3 linked regions of the Lytechinus pictus genome follow. The protein of the gene in region 1 binds, or shares a complex with, the protein of each later gene. Links are inferred from orthologs where the notes say so. Each region holds a gene or a part of one and is shown on either strand. Other genes may lie near its edges.

Region 1 (7,158 bases):
TATAATAAAGAAAGGAATTAAGGATATTCATAAGCCTGATTTATATCCCTTCCTCATATATCTATCTCCCCCTCTCTCCATCTCTCTCTCTCTCTATCTATCTATCTACAATGGGTATCAATACACTTTGAAAAAGTCCTGGGAATTGAAAAATATACAACATGGTGATAATTTGTTCACTTATATACTTGGGTTTGGGTCACATCTATCAAATAAAAGTAAACATTTTGACAGAATGTTACACTTGAGTGAATATACTGTCCATTGATTTTTGTTAAGCTTGCAGAAATCGGTTGCACAGAAATGCTCATTTTGACGCTATGTCAAGCACAAAGGGCGAAAGCAAACTAACCGTGTGGTAAGGTACATTTCTCATACATTTCCTTTGTATTTTTAGCGAATTGAAATAAAAACAGTACGCTCAACCTTTACTCCTTTCTTGTGCCAGCTGGATCTGAGGACACAACTGAATGTAAACAAAAGTTTATTTCAGACATCTACATGCCGCACTAAGTTTTTATCATTTAAAGTGGGACCACATTTCATTAATACTTGTTTATCCCCCGGGGTTTCTCCACACTTTTCCCAAGCTTGAAAATGATATTAAAGGTCAATTCCACCCCAGAAAAACGTTGATTTGAATCAATAGAGAAAAATCAAACTAGCATCACGCTGAAAATTTCATCAAAATCGGATGTAAAATAAGAAAGTTATGACATTTTAAAGTTTTGCTTATTTTTCACAAAACAGTTATATGCACAACTCAGTGACCTGCAAATGAGCCGTAAGATGTTATAAGAATGGTAATACCACATGTTCAGGTAGGAATAAAACTTCATTTCGCAGGACAATGAGGAGAAAATTAGAATAATTCATATTTCATATAATAAAATAAAAAAGAAATAGTGAGTGAGTGATGTCATCAGTTCTCTCATTTGCATACCGACCAGGATGTGCATATAACTGTTTTGTGAAATTAAGCGAAATTTAAAAATGTCATAACTTTCTTATTTTACATCCGATTTCGATGAAATTTTCGATGTTATGTTTGTTGGATTTTTCTTTTATTATTCAAATCAACTTTTTGCTGGGATGGACTTGTCCTTTAAGTGGTACTCACAGTTATATATCGTCATTTGCTTTAGGAGATCTGTACAAATGGTTACATGTGGAAAAAAGCTTCAGGATATTACAAATCTATAATTTTACAGCATTATTTCTAAATGTAAACTGTATACGCACTGTATATCTGGGGGCTGATTTTCAAGATTTCAACCAATATATAATATTTCAAGTATCTTATCAGATTTTCAAATATTCAAAGCGCCTAAACACTTTTATTAGACTATTCTTAAAAAAAGGTGCTGAAAACCATTATTCTTCATGATTTCAGATTTACATATTTTGTTCAAAGTGGTAGTCATTGTGTGATTCCATAAATTACTTGGGGAAAAATAAAAATAAAAACTAACTGGCAAAAAGTTATCTTATATTTCACAATATACAACTCCCAAGAATGTTTTGTAATCTGAAAACACTTTTTGCCAGTTAGTTTTTTTTTCAGGAATTTTCAAACTGAAAAACAATTTTTCATGAATAAGAAATCTGAGCTGATTTACCATTTTTATTTAACAAATTCATTTCATTTCAAATTTTCAACAAAACTATAAAAAAAAGTGCCGGAATTATGATACAGCATATATTAAAATGAAATGGGAACCTTCTGGAAAGCATATAGCTATAGTTCCCTCCGTTAAAATCACATTACAAATACAAAATAATCCCATGTATTCGTATTTTGTTTGGCACCCAGTTGATTGGGGTTTAAGGATTTAACCCCTCTCTTGGGCTGCCAAGTAAAAAAAAGTAATAATCTACATTTCGGATCAAACCCCTGATTAGCTTCATTTTATAGTGAACCTTTTTTTCTGGTAAAATGACCTTCTTTTTTAAAACCATCTTTTTTGGGGTGTAAAAAGTTCTCAGTACTCAAAGGACCTCCTTTTGGTAGTGAACCCCTTTTTTTGTCTTGCAAGAACATTTCTCGGTACCCAAATGACCTTCTATTGATAGTGAAACCATTAAAAAACCAACATTTTTTTTTTATTGCTTGCTTGTCAAATTTCTCGGTCAAAATCCCCTCCTTAGAAAAAAGCTAGATCTGCACCTGTCATCATATTGATCATAATCATCATCATCATCGTCGTCGTCGTCGCTTTATCATCATTATCTTCGTCTTCTTTCTTACATTATTCTTCTTCTTTCTCATTTTTTTTTCTTTTTTCTTCTCTTTCATCTATTTCCCCACGACTGAGATACTTTTTTTTTGTTTTGAATAATATTTTATTTTCTTCCTCTTTCAAATCAATAAGTTTACAATCACAATTCATATAAATAAAGATTCTTTGTATGTATACAATCAATAAACAATCAAACAAATAAATATATCAATATCAATGAGATTACGAATATTTTTAAAATGATTACAAATTAAATTAAACTGCCAAATTTCTCTTCTATAACAATGTGAAAGCAGAGGGGAAAAACCCGTATCAATCGACAAAAATAAAAAAAACGTACTTTGTAAAAAATGAATTTTTCCCTGAATAGAATAGAAATAATCTCTTTTGCACATATTAATTGTACGAAAAAAAAGAAAAAAAAAAGGATAAAATATTATTTTAAAGGTTAATTAGAGGAAGGTTATCCTAAAACGTCCCTACACACTCACCTTACCCCCATACCCCCATACCCCCTCCCCCCCTCATCTCTCTCCCCAGACACTCACACAAGCTCACTTCAAACCACCACTACTCACAGCTCCCCCCCCCCCTCTTCCCCGTCACAAAACTCACACATCCATCTACACACGTACACCCACACACAATGCATCCTGCTCTGGTACAATTATCTGTATTTGAACAAATAAACAAAACAGAAACAAAATGAAGCAACCAATACATCCATAGTATTAAGAAAGGTATGCATTGATTTGTTCCCATTTCCTTAAGTGCACCCCCAGCTTCCCCTTTTTAAACGCTATTTGATATTCCGTATCTCTATACTCTTTAACCAAATGTGTCACTTTCTGTACGGTTGGCAATATTCCCTGTTTTCTTGAACTAAAAATGATATACTTAATTAAGAATATAATACAGTTTATTAAAGCTACTCTTGTAGTATTTCCAGATATCCCCATGAAAATTGTTTTCCAAACGTCACTGCCAAGTTCATTCAGTTGAAATATTTTACTCATCTCTTCCCATAATCGCTTAACTTCAGGACAATAAAAAAATAAATGTTGGTAAGACTCAACTTCTTTTTTACAAAAGGAACATAAATTATCTGTCTCAAAACCGAATTTAAAAAGTTCCCTTTTTGTGTACACAGCCCCTTGTAATTGTTTGTATTGAAATTCTCTGTGTTTATTGCATAGCATTGCACATAATCAATTTGAAAATTTTCAATGAAGTGGTCATATATTCGTCTAGATTTTATATCACATAGTTTCTGAACATGCCCACATATCATCAATTGAATTTCAAAGTTGTCTGTATCCATTTCCATAAAATCATTTTGTATCCACTCTTCTGTTATTACTGAAAATATCTTTTGAATTTTGAGCAAGTTTTCAGATGAAAATTTCAGATTATACCAGTATGAAACTGGTCTTAATTTACCTCCAACTATTATATCCGAGACCTTAACTATACCTTTCTGAAATAATTCAATATAAAAAAGGTCTTATTATTAAGGCATAGACGCTTGTTATTAAAAATAATGGGATTACTTTTCCCTCCAAAATGTCTACACTTATCCAATTCGTGTCATGCCTTCAGCATATCTATGTAAAATAATGGTATACCTTTTAAATTCATTCTAATCGTATCATAATCACACAGAAATATGATTCGACCACCTAAAGAGCTAAAAAAATATTCGAAGGTTGCTTTCCAACCCGAACTTTTCCCTCCATCTAGCAAACGTTTAATCCACATTATTCGTTGGGTCTTAACAAAGACCTCAAAATTTGGAGCTCTCAGTCCTCCAACAGAATAGTCTTGATATAGAACCTTGCGTTTTATTCTATCTCTTCCTCCCCAAATAAAGTTAAAAGAAATACGGTCTTTTGATTTCTTTTATAGCGCCATCTTCCGTTGGGCATTAATGTAGTTTTTGCAGAATAGAGAAAAATGTCATCAAAGTCAGACTCAAGAAAACATCGAAGCCACGACGATTACGATAGACATCGTAGTCATAGACCAAGATCTCGCAGTAGAAGTCCGAAAACTAGTAACAGAGAAAAGGATGGTAAATCCCATCGCTCTGAAAAATCGGTACGTAGCGGAGCAACTTATTACAATTTCAGACCAAACAGATCCGGCTGCCGGCTGCGACACCTCGAATGGCACATGCACAAAAAATTAACCCGGCCCTAGCCCGAGGGCCGGGCGAGGCGCGAGGTCAGGGCAGCTGGCGGGCTGGTACGGTATGTATGGTGAAACTAATTTCAAAAGCCGAAGCAATACCTAACGTTATAGCCTATGCTATGGCTATGGATGGAAACTTCGACTGTTATTTCTTATTCGTCAATCATGTACACCGTTTTGCCCCTGTCATCATCTTCATCATTTATTAATCACTCACACTGACTATTGCGAGGTTAGTATAATTTAAACTATAAATGTATATTCTATACTAACTAGGCCTATAATATAGTATACGAACCTCGTCCTCGCACAACCATCATGTTTTTGTAGTGGATTTTAGAGTTGTCGTTAACATCGCTTCATAACGTGAATGATGTTAGCCGAAACCCATTCCGCTACTCACCAGGGCTTTTTATGGTATAAAGCGTTCCATTTTCAATTTTTAACATATTTTTTTAATTTAAAAGGATACAAAAAAGAGCAAAATCGCTTACCTCCGCCTGGAAAGTGGCTTCGCACGTCTCTTCCACGGAAATAATAAGGAGGTCGTTGGTGGCGCTAATACAGTTCACAACCTTAATTCAGCTGTGTGTTTTTTTTTAAACTAGATTCATGATTCATTGTATGCGCAATTCCAATAATTGTTTGATAAAATAGAGACCCCAATAAATGCAATAACTTAAAAAAAGTACTTTTTTATTATTTTTGCTGACGATAATACTTTTTGGAAAATATTCAAAACGATGACAAATTAAACAAAAAATATAGATAATTCTATGTACCTTGAACAAAGCCCCGCAAGTGCTACCGTTCGTTTGTCAATTAATGTTCCACCAAAGTCTTTACAGTAAAAAGATTGAACACTGCCGACTTCGCGTAACGCTTTGCATCGATTTACGTGTAAGATAATTTCTGTGTCTAGTCTTTCAATTGTAGTGTCTTTGATATGAAGATAAATCGCGCGCCCTCTTTCGCTCATTAGACGAAAAATTTGAGAGCTAGAAAGGTAGTGTAGGGTTGAAGAAAATTATATGTTTGGAGTTGAAAATAAATGAAGTTCTAAATCATCAAACTGAAGGGGAATGAAGCAGACGCAAAATGAAGAGAACTTAAACCGAAGGAGTCTGGTTGTACACTGTTTAATATCTGGGCTATTTTGCCTCAGCTTAACTTTGGATCACAGTATAATTTACATAAATATTTAAATTAGAAATAACCAATCAAACTAAAGAAAATGGAAGGATCGAACTAAAATGTAAGAACCCAATTCATAAGATAAACCAATAAGGAATGAGATGAGATGACAAAGATGTCTGGTGATTATGTAATAATGGAAGTAAAAACTAAGGAGTCAGGTGAGGGATGGAATGAGTGGAACACCTGAAGAGAGAATAGAGAAGGAATGAAGATGACAAGAGAAACACAGGAAAGGCATTCAGAGTAGAATGAATGAATGACAACTGAATATCATTAAACTCAAATAACCTTAGTCCAGACTGCAAGGGCAGTACTGAAAAGAAATGCAAATGAACTAAGATCTAGACAGAACAGAAATGTAAAACACCTTAAGAAAACACAAGTCAAAGGAAATAAACAAAGTAGGTAAATGACAAATTAACAATCCTACAGTAGCTTTCGTATTTTGTCAACGAGAAGTAAAATCAACGCTTAAATGACGCATTTTGAGGGATATTCATCAAATTATGAGGAATTGACTTCACATCGTTTCGTTAGTTTCGTAGGAGGACTTCATTCTGTAAGTCCTCGTATTAATTTTTCGTAAATTAACGTTATTTGTTGAATGCGCCGTGCCTTCAATTATTCTGTAGTCGGCGGCTGAGATGTAGCCGTGGGTGTTTATTAATCAGACATCAATCATTGTCGCCGTCGTCGCTTCATCATTTCATGATCATCATTATGATCTTCGTCTTCTTTCTCATTTCTTTTTTAATCTATTTCCCCACGACTGAGATTATAATGGGTCTTTTGATTTCTTTCAGACTCAAAGTCGCGAGTCGCATTCAAAATCAGACCTTTTCTTCGCTAGTTTCAACTTTAAATAGTGATAGACAAAAGCTAATCTCCTAAAGAGGGCTAACTTAGCTTTAGTCTACTCTAGATCCACTCACAAAAAGTCACATGTATTGCGAGGACAGTATTAGTATACTAACCTCGCACCATGAACCGCGTTTGGCAGTGGATTTCTAACTAGTGGGTCGCGCGTGCTGCGATCCCACTTCTGGTGTCCACAACACACGACTTCTATGGCTTGATTTTTCTGTGTGCAGCGGCATGTAATGAACCCTTGAGTGACTAGTTAGATCAGACTACGCTACTGGTTGAAAAACCAGGATTGTCCAGAAAGCTGCAAACGATAACGTCTAAATAGAGAAAATTCTAATGAACTAGGAGAAATCATGTCTTGATAAATTGAGATTGTCTTTGTTTATTATACAAACATTTTTGTCTCACCTGCATAGCAGAGTGAGACTATAGGCGCCGCTTTTCCGACGGCGGCGGCGTCAACACCAAATCTTAACCTGAGGTTAAGTTTTTTAAATGACAGCATAACTTAGAAAGTATATGGACCTAGTTCATGAAACTTGGCCATAAGGTTAATCAAGTATTACTGAACATCCTGCCTGAGTTTCATGTCACATGACCAAGGTCAAAGGTCATTTAGGGTCAATGAACTTAGACCATGTTGGGGGAATCAACATCAAAATCT
Region 2 (7,675 bases), on another chromosome or scaffold:
GCTTCCGCTATCACCACGAGGTTGAAAATAAAATGAATATCATCATAAACGATGTAAGAGAGTAACGCAATAAGCTCCGTCAGTTGCACGATGTTTAAAAGTTCACGGCGGGGTCCGCTATCACCACGAGGTTGAAAATAAAATGTAAATCATCATAAACGATGTAAGAGAGTAACGCAATGAGCTCCGTCAATAGTACGACCTTTCAAAGTTCACGGCGGCATCCGCTATCACCACGAGGTTGAAAATAAAATGTATATCATCATAAACGATGTAAGAGAGTAACGCAATAAGCTCCGTCAGTAGCACGATCTTTAAAAGTTCAGGGCGGGGTCCGCTATCACCACGAGGTTGAAAATAAAATGTAAATCATCATAAACGATGTAAGAGAGTAACGCAATGAGCTCCGTCAGTAGCACGATCTTTAAAAGTTCACGGCGGGGTCCGCTATCACCACGAGGTTGAAAATAAAATGTAAATCATCATAAACGATGTAAGAGAGTAACGCAATGAGCTCCGTCAATAGTACGACCTTTCAAAGTTCACGGCGGGGTCCGCTATCACCACGAGGTTGAAAATAAAATGTATATCATCATAAACGATGTAAGAGAGTAACGCAGTGAGCTCCGTCGGTAATACGACCTTTCAAAGTTCACGGCGGCGTCCGCTATCACCACGAGGTTGAAAATAAAATGAATATCATCATAAACGATGTAAGAGAGTAACGCAATAAGCTCCGTCAATAGTACAGTCTTTAAAAGTTTCTGGCGGGGTCCGCTATCACCACGAGGTTGAAGAGAAGATTTATATCATTATAAACGATGTAAGAGAGTAGCGCAGTGAGCTCCGTCGGTAATACGACCTTTCAAAGTTCACGGCGGCGTCCGCTATCACCACGAGGTTGAAAATAAAATGAATATCATCATAAACGATGTAAGAGAGTAACGCAATAAGCTCCGTCAATAGTACAGTCTTTAAAAGTTTCTGGCGGGGTCCGCTATCACCACGAGGTTGAAGAGAAGATTTATATCATTATAAACGATGTAAGAGAGTAGCGCAGTGAGCTCCGTCGGTAATACGTCCTTTCAAAGTTCACGGCGGCTTCCGCTATCACCACGAGGTTGAAAATAAAATGAATATCATCATAAACGATGTAAGAGAGCAACGCAATAAGCTCCGTCAATAGTACAGTCTTTAAAAGTTAATGGCGGGGTCCGCTATCACCACGAGGTTGAAGAGAAGATTTATATCATTATAAAGGGGGTAAGAGAGTAACGCAGTGAGCTCCGTCGGTAATACGACCTTTCAAAGTTCACGGCGGCATCCGCTATCACCATGAGTTGGAAGAGAAGATATCTATCCCCTTAAACATTGCCATAGATAATACCGCGACTTTCTCCCTGAATAATGCGACCTCTAAATAGCTAGCACCTCAAAAACAATCTTGAAATATGTTCTGAGCGATCACGCACTGTAACCGGATCTACGCCGATTTTTTATTTTCGATTTTTTCCTTCAAGGGGCATGATCGAAGATCGGCAAGTGATTGCCGATTGTGGTGAAATCGAATGGAATCGGTTGCCGATTGCAAAATCGGTTACAAGCTTACTTACTTCATATCACGAAGTCACAGAAAACTTCCCTTCCTTCGTTTGGAGATCGTTGCACCGATCGCCGCGGAAGTGATACTGAAATTATCGGTCGATTTTCATTATTTTTTTTGGTCAATTTGAGGAGCTTGCGTTTGCAGAACACGAGTACCAGCGTATAATATGCAATGATCACTGTTGTAATTGGTTGATTCTCAAATTGGCTCCGAGTGTTATTGCACAATGCTTTCGAGACCGGATCGTGGTACAAAAACTTGATTCTCCAGAAAAAAATGTGGATTAATCAGTGATTTTGGAAGTGAATTCACTCTAGCTTAGTCAAAATGTTTCCCGAACTGAGCCTGTATTATATAGATCTAGATCTAGTGTGGGGATATCACTCGTGTCAAGGTGAAGACATTTGATTGAGAGTGTTACTGTTATGTTCCACGATCGAATTATTTTTTTTTGTGTTAGGGAGCCTAGGCTAAATTACAGTCCCTTTTTCATGTCGACATTGTCGATGTCGGGATTAATTTTTAAGCGACATGTCAACATGGATTTTTGTTCCCGACAACAGCACTAGTCCAAAGGTGAAAATTTGTGACATGTGTTTTCCCCATATTTTGAACTCCGTTAATATGAAACTGTGAAAACCAAAAGTAATTCGGACCCAATTTTTCAGGTACTTGTTGGTGGTTGACATGTTAGGTGCCCCAAGGAAAAGCAACCTCTATACTTCATCAAGATTTAAAATACTTAGATAGCTTTAAAAATGGCAAAAAACAAATTTTTGCCATTTTGGCATTTTTCAAAATTTGAATTGGCCATATCTCGGCAACCCCTGGTCCAATTTTTTATGATCTTGGTGTCATTTTACTCGTGTTTCAGAGCTTATTCCAGTCAAAACTATTTAATACTAGATTTACAACACTTCAATTTTTGTGGTGGCATCCCTACTTTTGAGTTTTATCCCAAAAAAAAAACACTCTCCATTCCAACTTCCATTCAATAATTTTTGTAAACTGCTCAATGGGTCTATATTAGCATGAACCATGATTTTTCCTGTCATATTTACTTGGAATTCGAAAAATGATGTATTGTGTTCGAAGTTTAGAACCCAAGACTGTCCGCACAGCACATTACACAGATTACAATAGGTGGGAAAAGTCAAGTGTTGCGCGTGCCAAGCCCAATTGCAAAAAAAATGAAAAGCGAGCTGGGAATCTACATTCTCTAGGGACGATATTACATCTTAAACAAACAAATCAAATATCACTTACCGCTTTGTACTCATATTGTAGTGACCTAGCCGTAGCATCAGCCATGGCTAAAGAGTAAAGTGTACTTCTTGATGAATTATCTTACGATTAACTGACGTTTTTCACAAAAGTAGAACTCACGCATTTTAATGGGTAGGCACTTATGAACCAAGTTTGAAAGGAGACTCGTAAAATGACGTCACTCTCGCCGATGAATATTCATTAGATCGTGGTCGTGCGTGTTCAATACACACTGCGTGCAGGCATGCAGATACAGGATAGTTATATGCGAGGAACTTTGGCTCCAGAGACAAGTTGTCAAATAACGTGTGTGTGTGTGAGTGTGTGTGTGTGTGTGTGTACCATCGGCTGGTAGTATTCCATGCTAGACAGACTTCAAACCGCTTCGGAGAGAGTGCAATTCGGTAAAACCAAGGAGATATCACTCTCTCCTTGGTAAAACGAAGTTTCCGATATAAAGAGATAATAACACTATATGTACAGTACGTTGGGAGGCAAATGTCAGATCAGGGGAGGCAGGAGTACAATCAGGTTTTTTTTTAAAGGGAAGAATAGAGTAGAATAAAAGGTATTATATATAGCTAATTGATCTAGTAGAGTGAAGTGAACAATTATGTTTTTTTTTAAAGAATGAATATACCTTACGTGAATATTATGGTGAAGCCAATTTAAAAGGAGGTGAGACAAGTTTCAATGGAGGTTTTTAAAAAGAATAAACTGCATTATGGTGAAGCCAATTTAAAAGGAGGTGAGGCAAGTTTCAATGGAGGTTTTTAAAAGAATAAACTGCATTATGGTGAAGCCAATTTAAAAGGAGGTGAGACAAGTTTCAATGGAGGTTTTTTTTAAAGAATAAACTGTACTACAAATTTAAATGGAGGTGAGGCATTAAGTTAATTTCAATGGAGGTTTTTAAAAAGAATAAACTGTACTACAAATTAAAAAAGAGGGTGATCAAGTTTCAATGGAGGTTTTTAAAAAGAATAGACTGCATTATGGTGAAGCCAATTTAAAAGGAGGTGAGGCAAGTTTCAATGGAGGTTTTTAAAAGAATAACCGTAAAATACTACAAATTTAAATGGAGCGAGGTGAGGCAAGTTTCAATGGAGGTTTTTAAAAAGAATAAACTGTACTACAAATTATGGTGAAGCGAATTTAAAAGGAGGTGAGGCAAGTTTCAATGGAGGTTTTTTTTTAAAGAATAAACTGTACTACAAATTTAAATGGAGGTGATGCAAGCTTCAATGGAGGTTTTTAAAAAGAATAAACTGTACTACAAATTATGGTGAAGCAAATTTAAAAGGAGGTGAGGCAAGTTTCAATGGAGGTTTTTAAAGAGAATAAACTGTACTACAAATTTAAAAGGAGGTGAGACAAGTTTCAATGGAGGTTTTTAAAAAGAATAGACTGCATTATGGTGAAGCCAATTTAAAAGGAGGTGAGGCAAGTTTCAATGGAGGTTTTTTAAAGAATAAACTGTACTACAAAGGAGGTGAGGCAAGTTTCAATGGAGGTTTTTAAAAAGAATAAACTGTACTACAAATTATGGTGAAGCGAATTTAAAAGGAGGTGAGGCAAGTTTCAATGGAGGTTTTTTTTTTTAAGAATAAACTGTACTACAAATTTAAAAGGAGGTGAGGCAAGTTTCAATGGAGGTACGTTTTAAAAAAGAATAAACTGTACTACAAACTTAAAAGGAGGTGAGGCAAGTTTCAATGGAGGTTTTTAAAAAGAATAAACTGTACTACAAACTTAAAAGGAGGCGAGGCAAGTTTCAATGGAGGTTTTTAAAAAGAATAAACTGTATTATGGTGAAGCAAATTTAAAAGGATGTGAGGCAAGTTTCAATGGAGGTTTTTAAAAAGAATAAACTGTACTACAAACTTAAAAGGAGGTGAGGCAAGTTTCAATGGAGGTTTTTAAAAAGAATAAACTGTCTGTACTACACATGGGTGTCAATCGGTATTCTTGGTTGGGGGGGGGGGATGATTGACACAAATGTTCTTGGGGATGGGGATCTTTCAACATTACCCCCACTAAAATCACAAGTTAGAACATTTGGGAGTGGTTGATATGCATGGTGTTCTTGGAAATTCCTTCATTGTTGCAGTGTACTGTATTATGTATAATTTTTTTTGAAAATTCAATTTGTGTTACAAGTAAGCATGTTCTAAGCTCATACGAAAGAAAAAATGACAAAAATTGTCTGGACCATGTACAAAGTGATCTGTTTATTGAGCATGATGTATACAACTTCTCTCTTAAATCTAACCCGACTGGCAATATTTTTTTTCTTCTTAATGCATGATGATAAAATGCAGATTCGGACAAATTAAGACTAGCACAAATTACAAACGTTGTGGCTTCTAGCTCGTGCGCCATCGGGCTTACCGTCATTCCTTAGACGATTTTAACCCTGGATTTTAACATGTTTTAAATGCTTTGTAAGTGAATGAAACAAAAACAAACATAAAAACAATCAAAACTCAACTGTCTGTTATGATATTTCTCCAACATTTTCTTGAACCATCAGTGTGTAATATCAGCTAATATATGTGTTAAAATGAAATTTACGTACCGCATGAGTGTGCTCATATAGATTGCAAACCTGTCATCCCTTTCCAAACTCAAAAGAGATTTCTTTTTGCCAAAATAAGAAAAAATCAATCAAGTTTAGTTATTCAAGTCCATAACAAGAATAACATGGAAAAAATCCGATGTTCATATCCGAAGATACGCTTTAAAGAGAAATGAATGATTATTCTTTCTGATGGGGTCACATGATAAAATGTTTGATATTAATTACATCCAACCGCATACAACAAAAGCACCATACACATGAGCTACTGATCACCACACGACCATTATGACTTTTTAAAAGTGATATGGGCTCACTCTTTCATGACTATAGGCACCTCATTTCCACATAAACTCCTCAAAAAAAGTTTGGAAATCTGACTTTGATCGATAATCCCTCCTCAAATTTAATATACATGTATATCAATATGTTAGTAATATCACTGAATAGATCATCTAATTCTCTTTAATATGATACCCTACATGATATGATTATGGTTCACATGGAGGTGCAGTGCCTTGAAATGTGGGGCAAGGTCAAAATTCAAAAGTTGCACAATGACATAATATTGAAAGTTACTGGTTTTTTTTCCGTGGTGATGAGTTGGGAGAATTATCGGCCAAACTCAGATTTCCAAACTTTTTTTGCTCGTTTTGCAGCTTTCAAATTCAGACCTCATCCAACACTTTTGAATCCTGTTCTTTTCGTGATGACAGAGAATTAAGTGATCTTTTGAATGACGTCAAATATGCATTGTGTAAAATTTGGAGTTGGGAGAAATTAATAGCCAAACTGATTTCCAAACTTTTTGTGAGGAGTTTAGATAGGTAATGAGGACATCAATGCTCTCCTGCAAAATATTATTGACCAAAACTTATCGTTCAAGTCAAGGTATACACAAGTAGAGGTGACATTCGTTTTGTGCACATCTTCCTTTTGGTATAATTTCATGTTCAAAGGTTTACTGAATGCCGAACATAATATATAACAATACTACCATGACATACATCGGTATATAACCAGGCAAAGGGTTGTAGATTAAATGGGATGGACAAACATCATGCACTTGGATGTGGGGAGGGATAAATCTGAGAAAAGTTATTTGTACTTTTTCAAGATCTACCCCTCTGGGATTTACGTCCATGGGGTTTTCCCCGTTGATCTTGCCACCCTCTTACTCCCGTTTATTTATACACCCTTTTGAATTAATTGATTTGTTAAAATTAATTTATTAACCACTGGTGGGATGGAACACCTATCAACAAAAGTTGTTTTTCGTCGGGGTCTTTTTATGTCATGTATTTAAAAATATCATATACATAAACATTTCATTATTTTTCATCTTGAACCTCCATCAATCTGTTTAAAAGTCATGGAAAAGAATGTTTTTATTTAATAACAATATACACAAATTGCGAGGGAAACAAACTGATTGATGGCATATAATCATCATGATCAAATTTTCATTTTTTCATCATCATTATTATAATTTTTCTACCCTAAATTATAGGGGGGATGAAAATACAGACCATCCCCCCACTTGAAATAATGGGGGGGGGGGATATATTCCCCCCCCCCCCCGTGATCGACACCCATGGTACTACAAATTATGGTGAAGCGAATTTAAAAGGAGGTGAGGCAAGTTTCAATGGAGGTTTTTTAAAAGAATAAACATAAACAGTCTTTGTAAATGTTTGTGCAAAAACTTGATAAGAATGCATGCCGTTATCACACAGTACTTGCCAACTTTTAGTATCTTTTATCATGGTCCTAGGCCTGCCAGTACTGAAAATAAACGTATTTTAAACTGTATTATAGCGTATATTTTTATTTACTCAAACTGCAGTTGCTTTCCATGATCATGTCTTGGTTTTATAATACTTGCTATATGTGTCCAGCCACCCCAATACCAACAATAAATACATTGATTTAAAGATTCTCATTGATCTTGAACAATCACATCCTAAGCTGTAAAATGATTTATCTTGTTAATATTGATTAATAATATCCCTCGCTAGTACTTGATTGAATGCGAATAAATTTGGTGAGAGCTTCAACAAATAAGAGAACAAGATTTGGGGTTCACTTACGCATGCGATGTGTAATATGTAGTTCAACTACTTAGCAGTGAGCAAAACACGGATATCAAAGTCTTGTATTTTGTCTTCAACTTTTACAACCTCACATTTTGACAATATGAAGAATTTTTTTTCTTCGGATAAACC
Region 3 (7,416 bases), on another chromosome or scaffold:
CAAAATATATAATTGAAAGATCAATGCTCCTTGTAGAATTGAATGAATCACAGCCAGGACAAATAATGGAGTATTTAAAAAAAGATGACCCAGGGATACAGAAAGCATTTTTACGTTTCGTTTCAAGAACGAAACGTTTTAGTAAGGAGTGATGTACTATTTTAATATTGTATTGTCTATAAGAAATATGAATGGATATGCTTGTACAAGTCTAATGTGAAAAGAAGAAAAAATATATATATATACATAATAATGTATGATATAATATATACAATATGATATATTCTGCACATATAACTAACAAAGCCCACAAGTGTTTTCGCCTTGTTGTTGTTGTTGTTTAAAAAAAAGAAACAAATTATTTTAATGTTTAACCCATCTGTAAGCACAGGTACACTAGCGCCCCCTCGTCTATGCATGGGTGACCTAGGCATTTATGTCCGAAAAATCGGCACAATGTACCGTGCTGACCGGTATGATTGCATCTTTGAAAGGGCAGGGCAAGCGCAACTAGTTGGAACTGAGCTGAAGATAGCGGTTTGTTTTTGGTGAAGTTTTGTTTATATGCCATTTTGACAAGAGTTACTGCAAACTTTTGTACATATCATAATTATCCTCTTTCATATCAGAAGGATACAAAAAAAATATTTTATATATGTATACATCATATTGGTAATAATATTATTATGTGAGAAGTGAGATTTTTTATTAATAATGTCAATGGCGACAATAGTCAAATATGACTAATCGCCACTCAAACCAACATAAGAAGAAGAAGAAGACTAAGGACGGATCGAACGAAGTATCGTGGTTGAGATTTGGAGGTAAGCGATAAAAACACTTTTATAAATAATTTCCAATTCCTTTTTACAATGAACTTAAATCATACGATCAAGATTAACATAGTGGAAAAATATTTAAAGGTTTGGCGTGTTTTAGTCCCTCACATTCGTGTGATGAATGAAAACGTCAAAATGCACTATGAAATCACATGCGTTGTGCGAGGTTAGTAATACTAACCTCACATGTTGTGTGAGTGCATCTCATGTATATACTTATAGGTGAAGTACGCCATCTTTTGACAAGATGATGATGAAAGTGGACTGAACGAGCAAGAAAATAATGCTGGGCGTCTAGAATGCAGCTAGCAGTACAAGCTTCAGTACCGTAAACAAACCGGCTTATAAATAAAATTGCGCGCCCTCTTTAGGCCAAATTTGATTTTGTCGCTGATCAAAGGGCATCTACGTGAAGATAAAGAAAAAATACATTAAAAAAAAAGGATCCATATTGTTCGATAAGTGTCATAGCACAATGTGAAATTATAGCTTTAGTGTTATAATCTTTTATTTGGGCAAAAGCCCATGAAAGATTTGCATGTGTCGTGTGCATTTGATATTCCTTCGCACGCGGGATGAAATGAACCCATGGGTGTATTAGAATCTAATCAGCGATGTAGGTCACTCATTCAATAAACAAGCCTATAATAAAAACTTGTTCTCTGTTCTCCCTGTGTGGTGAAATAGTATTGGCAATGTTTGGCTTATTTTCTCTGTCTTCAGCATAATTGGACCAAAACAAACATGCAATCATTGAATCAAATAAAAGTCATGTGTGTTTCTGTGGTACAATTAATGTTGAATATATATGGTAAATGGAAATTATTTACTTACTACCAGGAGCTTGTTTTTTAGCAAGAGTTCCATATGCACCCCCACTAGAATTAAAAATAAAAACATGGAGAAGGTTCAGAATAATATATCTAGCCCTAATATAGAACATATGATTGGGGAGTAGAAATACATACCAAAATATGGCTTTATTCCGTCAAATTTCGAGCATGATCTTTTGTAAACATAAGTCATTTTTTAGAATTTTTAATATGTGTGTTGTATTACTGCATAGATACCACACAGGCAGGGTGGTTGTTGTCAACAAGTGATGTAGGTCATAAGCAAGTCGGAGTCGGAGCTTCGATTAAGGCCGAAGGCGGAGCTGAAACTGGACTCGACGAACAATCATAACAAGTATAACTGTATGGGACTGCTGGAAAAGGTCTTTTATAATGACTTAACTACAATCATCCTATACACGAGGTTATAATTTAACCTAGTCTCCCCCTTTATAGTTGAACGTACATGTTGACAAAAACAAAACTTACATCACTTTAACTTGTTCACTGCAACCACCCTGCCTGTGGTGAATGTACATATTATAGACTATATAACACATTTTAAAAATTCTATAAAATATCACTTTTGGAACCCAAAATACTCATACAGTCCTATACAGTTATGATTTTTTTTTTTTTAATTACTAACTTGGAGATCAATATTTTAATTTACCAGAGCACTCAAAAACTTTATTTTGAGCATATTTTGGTGTGGGCCCTCTATTGGTGGGAAATAAATTTGGTCTGAATTGTCACCAAACAATCTCTTTTTAATTTTGAAAAAAGAAGTAAATCTAAGTTAGAGCCAAGTTATATGATGAATAGCTGTAATAGAAACTGACAGTGTAAAAAGTGTAAGTCCAAGAACAAGAGAAAATAAGCCAAACATTGCCAACCTTATTTTACCACACAGGGAGTTGTAACAGAGGACAAGGTTATTCATTATACATTTTACATTGGATGAGTGACTTGCATTGCCCATGGACTAGGTGGCAATGGGACCTCAATGAAACCTGCAAGAGTTGTCAGATTTCCAAGCACCATTCTATGAAATCGACAGATATTTGATCAAAATTTTCATATTAGATATAATTTGTGATATCTTAACTTTCCTTTCGAGGACTCCATCACTTTCAAGCTCCAAGCTTAAGATGGAGGTCTCCCACATTTCTATATATATATATGTTCATTAATTAAAGAAAATGTATATATAGATATAATTTTCACAGTACAGTTGATATTTTATAATGATTTATGTGCATTATTCATTATGTTTAAAAAAATATTTGCCTATTATGTAATATTGAAAAAAAAATATTATACTTGTATATTCTTTGTTTTTGTTTTGAAATGTGGAAATGAAATAAATCAAATCAAATCAAAAATATACAAGAACTAATTTCACTTTAAAAATGTTTGTAATTAAAAGAAAAATATAAAATCACTAGACAATTCACCCCCCCCCCCATCTTTGTGTGCATTTGTGTGTTGCTACGGGGATGCCGACTTTCTACAAATACACCACCCCTTATTTGCGCTATTGTCGCCTATGAGGTCAATAGTTATGCTTTGACCCCATTGTTAGTAGGAGTGGGAAAATGCCCTGTTAAGCTGTTTCCCGTAATATTTAACATAGAACCTTTGTAATTTTTAGGTTTAGTTACTGTAGGAAGAGTGCCTTTTGGGACAGCCACCCAAATATAATACAAAAGGTATATATATATGAAAACTGGATTAAAACTCACCAATTTTTCCTTGCGTTGTGCCCAGATTTAGTCCTTACGTCTTGCTCTGAATATACGATGACAAAGTCAAGAGTGACAGATTGAAAAGGAAAAACATACTTGAGTCTCCATTTAGGAGACATTTTTTTAAGCATTACATTTTATTCAAAGTGGTAGGTGCTAATGAGTGCTTAACATCTAGGGCATGAGAGGTGCTAGTGCAGTTGCACATGCCACCTGTAGTAAACCACTTCACTAATAGTATATCCAAAATAATTTTATGCAATTACCCGCTTGTGGCTGTATCCAATAACGTTGGTGTCGATATAGCCACACGCCGCTGTTTAAGAACACCCGACATGTGCAATTTGAGAGGGGTACGTTTGCAAGCTTGTTGTGGCATCAGCCGAATGATCAAAATGACATGCCAATCAAAATTGCACTCAATCAGGCTCAATTGTCCTTGGTGTTTCTCTAAATTTGGTTTAATTCTCACTGTCCCTCTTTTTTTTACTCTTGTTTCAATTTCAAATGCTAAAATTATGCAAGAACTTTAATGTAATTTAGCAATGGCGGATCCCCCGGATCCGCCATTGCCTCCACACCCCCTTTGATATGCCCTTGTGATATTAAGCAAAATATTGAAATAGTATTGTATTTTTACATCCCATTTTGATTCTTGTTTGATTTCTTTTATTTTATTGAAATAAACTTTCTTTTGTGGCAGACTTCCCCTTAAAGTAGTCTGGATTAGTTTTTACTTGCACTTCATTTTCAATTGTTATGTCTGCCTAACTCATTTCTACATTTCATGAGTCATGATAGTCATTTTGACTATTCACCTAGCCTATAAACCCTGTATGCATTCCTATGTGACTTATCATATATCAAGTAAGTTTGCTCATAATGGATTCAGAATGGTTCTGACTCATTCCAGTAGATTATTTACACCAGTAGCCCTGATTTGATATTTCTTTATATGTTCAAAAGTTATTTTAAAGTGCTTTTCTTATTTTCCTTTTATGTTCTTTTGTTATATAGGAAGTAATGAAGATGAGAGTGCTGTTGTAAGGAAAGAAAGGAGACAAGCCATTCCAAATCCTATGAGACAAAAGGTAATACAATTCGGCATTTGTACCAACAATTGACTTGTCTATTTCACTATTTTTATATTTCCCTTGTACATTGTTTATCAGATTTGTAAAAATTAGTGTAAAAGTCTATCATACTCTGGAATCATTTCAGGAGAGATGTTAATTTGATACTGTGTTCGCTTGATGGCTAGGTATAGGTTTGTTGTATGGCAACATTTCTTCTGGAATGAAAGTCTCATTAATTAATTGCTAATTGTACTACTGAAGTAAAAATTTGGGTCTAATTTATACTAACACTTGTACAACCAATGAATAAAGGAACATGTAATTCATTAAAACAGTTAAAAGGAATTGCTAATTTAAAGGAATTATTAATTGCTAATTGTACTACTGAAGTAAAAATTTGGGTCTAATTTATACTAACACTTGTACAACCAATGAATAAAGGAACATGTAATTCATTAAAACAGTTTAAAGGAAATGATAAAGATATAGCCTTCTCATATAACAGCAATCTGAAATTCAAAATTCATTGGACTGTAGTTTGTACACATGTATGCTTTTCCAATTGTACGAGTAATTTGCTGTTTTTTTTCCTTTAACATTTTTTATATACAGTTTGTTTACATATTAATCATTTTTCTTCCAATTATTTTGCAAAGTGGAATAGATAGTAATTAAATGAAAAGAAATTTAAAATAAGTGATTATGAAAAGTAATTAATGTAAGATAAAGTATTTTGAAATCATGCATTCACAAGTATAGGTTGATCCCAAGATTTGCATAACCGCACCTATTACTGATTATTGCAAGAAATATAAAATTTAATTCCAAGACAAACTTTATCATTACCCCAGTTTGGCAGGTATTAAAGGGGGGAGGGGTGAGTAGTTGCAATAAAGATTTTAATATGAATATCTTCCTTTATTTTAGACGAAGAAACTGAGTGAGAAGCAAGATATCAAATACAGTGACAGTAGTGAAGATGAATCTAAGGATACGATGGTCAGCTATAAATCCAGTAGATCCGCTGTGAGTATTCAATTATTTGTCATTCAATACTTCATCATTCTTAAAATGATTTTAACGAAATATTCATACATTACAAAATAAAATGATAAAACTTGTCTTGCTTCATCTTTGATGACTTGTTGGCTATTTATCAAAATGGCATCTCCATCTTATGTTTACATTTCTTATCGAAGGAGGAGAGAGATTATTTTTAATTATGACAGTTCATACCTGTCTCCACATCTTAAATCATTGACTTCTGACTTCACAATTACTCTGAAACTATCCTGACTCCTGAACAAATACTTGGTCAATTTGAGGTGATTTAGCAATTTGAAATGAGTGAAGAACAGATTCAGCAGAGTCTTCACTAGTCATCCTTTCATAAAAGCTTGCCCAAGTCTAAGCATTTTTCAAACCAGAATATACAATGTAAATGAATTTTCCAAGCCAAATTGCACCCAAATCACGCAGATTTCTGTGATGCTAAGAGGTTTGAGTTCAGTAGATTTGCCTGCATTGATTTTATTTTTTCCCAGGATAAAGGGTTGATTTTACATTCCTTTAAAGTTTGAGTTATTGATGGTCTTAACTTTTCAGAAACCAACTGGACCAGAAGATGGGGGTGCTACAGCAACCTATAACCTGGATACAGATTTCAATGAAGATGCACAGGCATTGTTTGAGAAACAGAAGAAGATCAATGAGGTATGCAAAGAATAATGCATTACTATTCCAATCCAATCTGCCACAGCTACATTGAATAGAACAAGGAGCGATTACATCACAACCCATATTTGATAAAAGAGGACCATGGGGGCCCAAGATATGACTGTATAAATGCCTTCTTTGCCCATTGAAATCAGTGTAAAAATTTGCCTGGTTCCAATTAGTTATGAAACCGGCCAATTAACATTGATTTTAATGGGACATATTAAGTATGCATTTGGCAATAGCTTGGGCCAGCATGAAGCTGTTTGTGTCAATTTGGTGTGTCAAGGTTTTTTCATTATACTCTACAGTGGCAAAATGAGCTGAAAATTTTAAGGACAACATGGCATATATTGAAAAATATCTTTAAAGTTGTGAGCAAACAAAAATTCTGGTCTTACTAAATTGGAAATCTAATTTTGCGATGGATATTGACAATAATAATGAAAAATGATATATTTGATCCTTTTTTATTTTCATTTTCTTTTTTCTTCTTCGTCTTCTTTTCCTTGGCCAGAGCCCCATGTTGGTACTTTATATCATTAAGTTTAAGCCTGAGCCAAGTAGCACCTGGTTCCATTCCCAGAATGCAGATTCATTCTCACAAAAATGTCAAAATTTATTGCCCCAACCATGTTTTGGCCTGCTCGCCCATTGGCTGGGCAAACAGTAGGAAAGTAAGGGAATAATACCAAGAGTAGCCTACAGTCCCTAACTTTCAAATGCTTTCCCATACAAGCAATGAAACAAAAGATTTGTATTCATCAGCAAGAGAAGATTATACTTGCTTTAATATATTGGGATTAATACTTTCTGCATCAGAAAATTCCCTAATCATTGTACAACAATTCAGCACATATATATTGTCTTTAGCAGAGCTGATTTTATAGTCTGCTTTTCGAGAAAAAAATTCCTGCCAGTTCCCGGTTTGCCTCAGTCAGGTTATTTAAGTGCAACCCAATATGGATGAATTTCTCTGCCTAAAGGAAATCAGAATCAGGGATAGGGTTTGACCCTCTGATGAAGAGAAGGAACCACTACACCATGAAACCGCCATAAATCAAATGCAGCTTAATCACTCTTTATTCATTACAGCACAGTCAATGTCTTGTAGACAGGACATGGTTATCATTTTCACTGTTTTTTTCTGCTCATGTAGGAGTTGAAAGGAGAGGAGGATGACAAGAAGTACAGAGGAATCAAT

Evidence for each region. Proteins that work in one complex are often made in the same cells at the same time.
Region 2: smad nuclear-interacting protein 1-like (region 1) and U5 small nuclear ribonucleoprotein 200 kDa helicase-like share a complex: the UniProt entries of both Homo sapiens proteins name them as parts of the minor spliceosome. The link is inferred for Lytechinus pictus from reciprocal best matches to the Homo sapiens genes SNIP1 and SNRNP200.
Region 3: smad nuclear-interacting protein 1-like (region 1) and E3 ubiquitin-protein ligase RNF113A-like share a complex: the UniProt entries of both Homo sapiens proteins name them as parts of the minor spliceosome. The link is inferred for Lytechinus pictus from reciprocal best matches to the Homo sapiens genes SNIP1 and RNF113A.

What each region holds. Positions count from the first base shown.
Region 1 is NC_087248.1:10,826,071-10,833,228, forward strand, and holds the start of smad nuclear-interacting protein 1-like, read left to right. Parts: upstream 1-4,148; 5' UTR 4,149-4,193; coding exon 4,194-4,337; intron 4,338-7,158. UniProt on the Homo sapiens protein: Required for pre-mRNA splicing as component of the spliceosome. As a component of the minor spliceosome, involved in the splicing of U12-type introns in pre-mRNAs. Down-regulates NF-kappa-B signaling by competing with RELA for CREBBP/EP300 binding.
Region 2 is NC_087256.1:3,906,430-3,914,104, reverse strand, and holds the start of U5 small nuclear ribonucleoprotein 200 kDa helicase-like, read right to left. Parts: upstream 3,014-7,675; 5' UTR 2,918-3,013; coding exon 2,873-2,917; intron 1-2,872. UniProt on the Homo sapiens protein: Catalyzes the ATP-dependent unwinding of U4/U6 RNA duplices, an essential step in the assembly of a catalytically active spliceosome. Plays a role in pre-mRNA splicing as a core component of precatalytic, catalytic and postcatalytic spliceosomal complexes.
Region 3 is NC_087247.1:22,149,247-22,156,662, reverse strand, and holds the start of E3 ubiquitin-protein ligase RNF113A-like, read left to right. Parts: upstream 1-4,403; 5' UTR 4,404-4,418; coding exon 4,419-4,511; intron 4,512-5,423; coding exon 5,424-5,522; intron 5,523-6,101; coding exon 6,102-6,209; intron 6,210-7,371; coding exon 7,372-7,416. UniProt on the Homo sapiens protein: Required for pre-mRNA splicing as component of the spliceosome. As a component of the minor spliceosome, involved in the splicing of U12-type introns in pre-mRNAs. E3 ubiquitin-protein ligase that catalyzes the transfer of ubiquitin onto target proteins.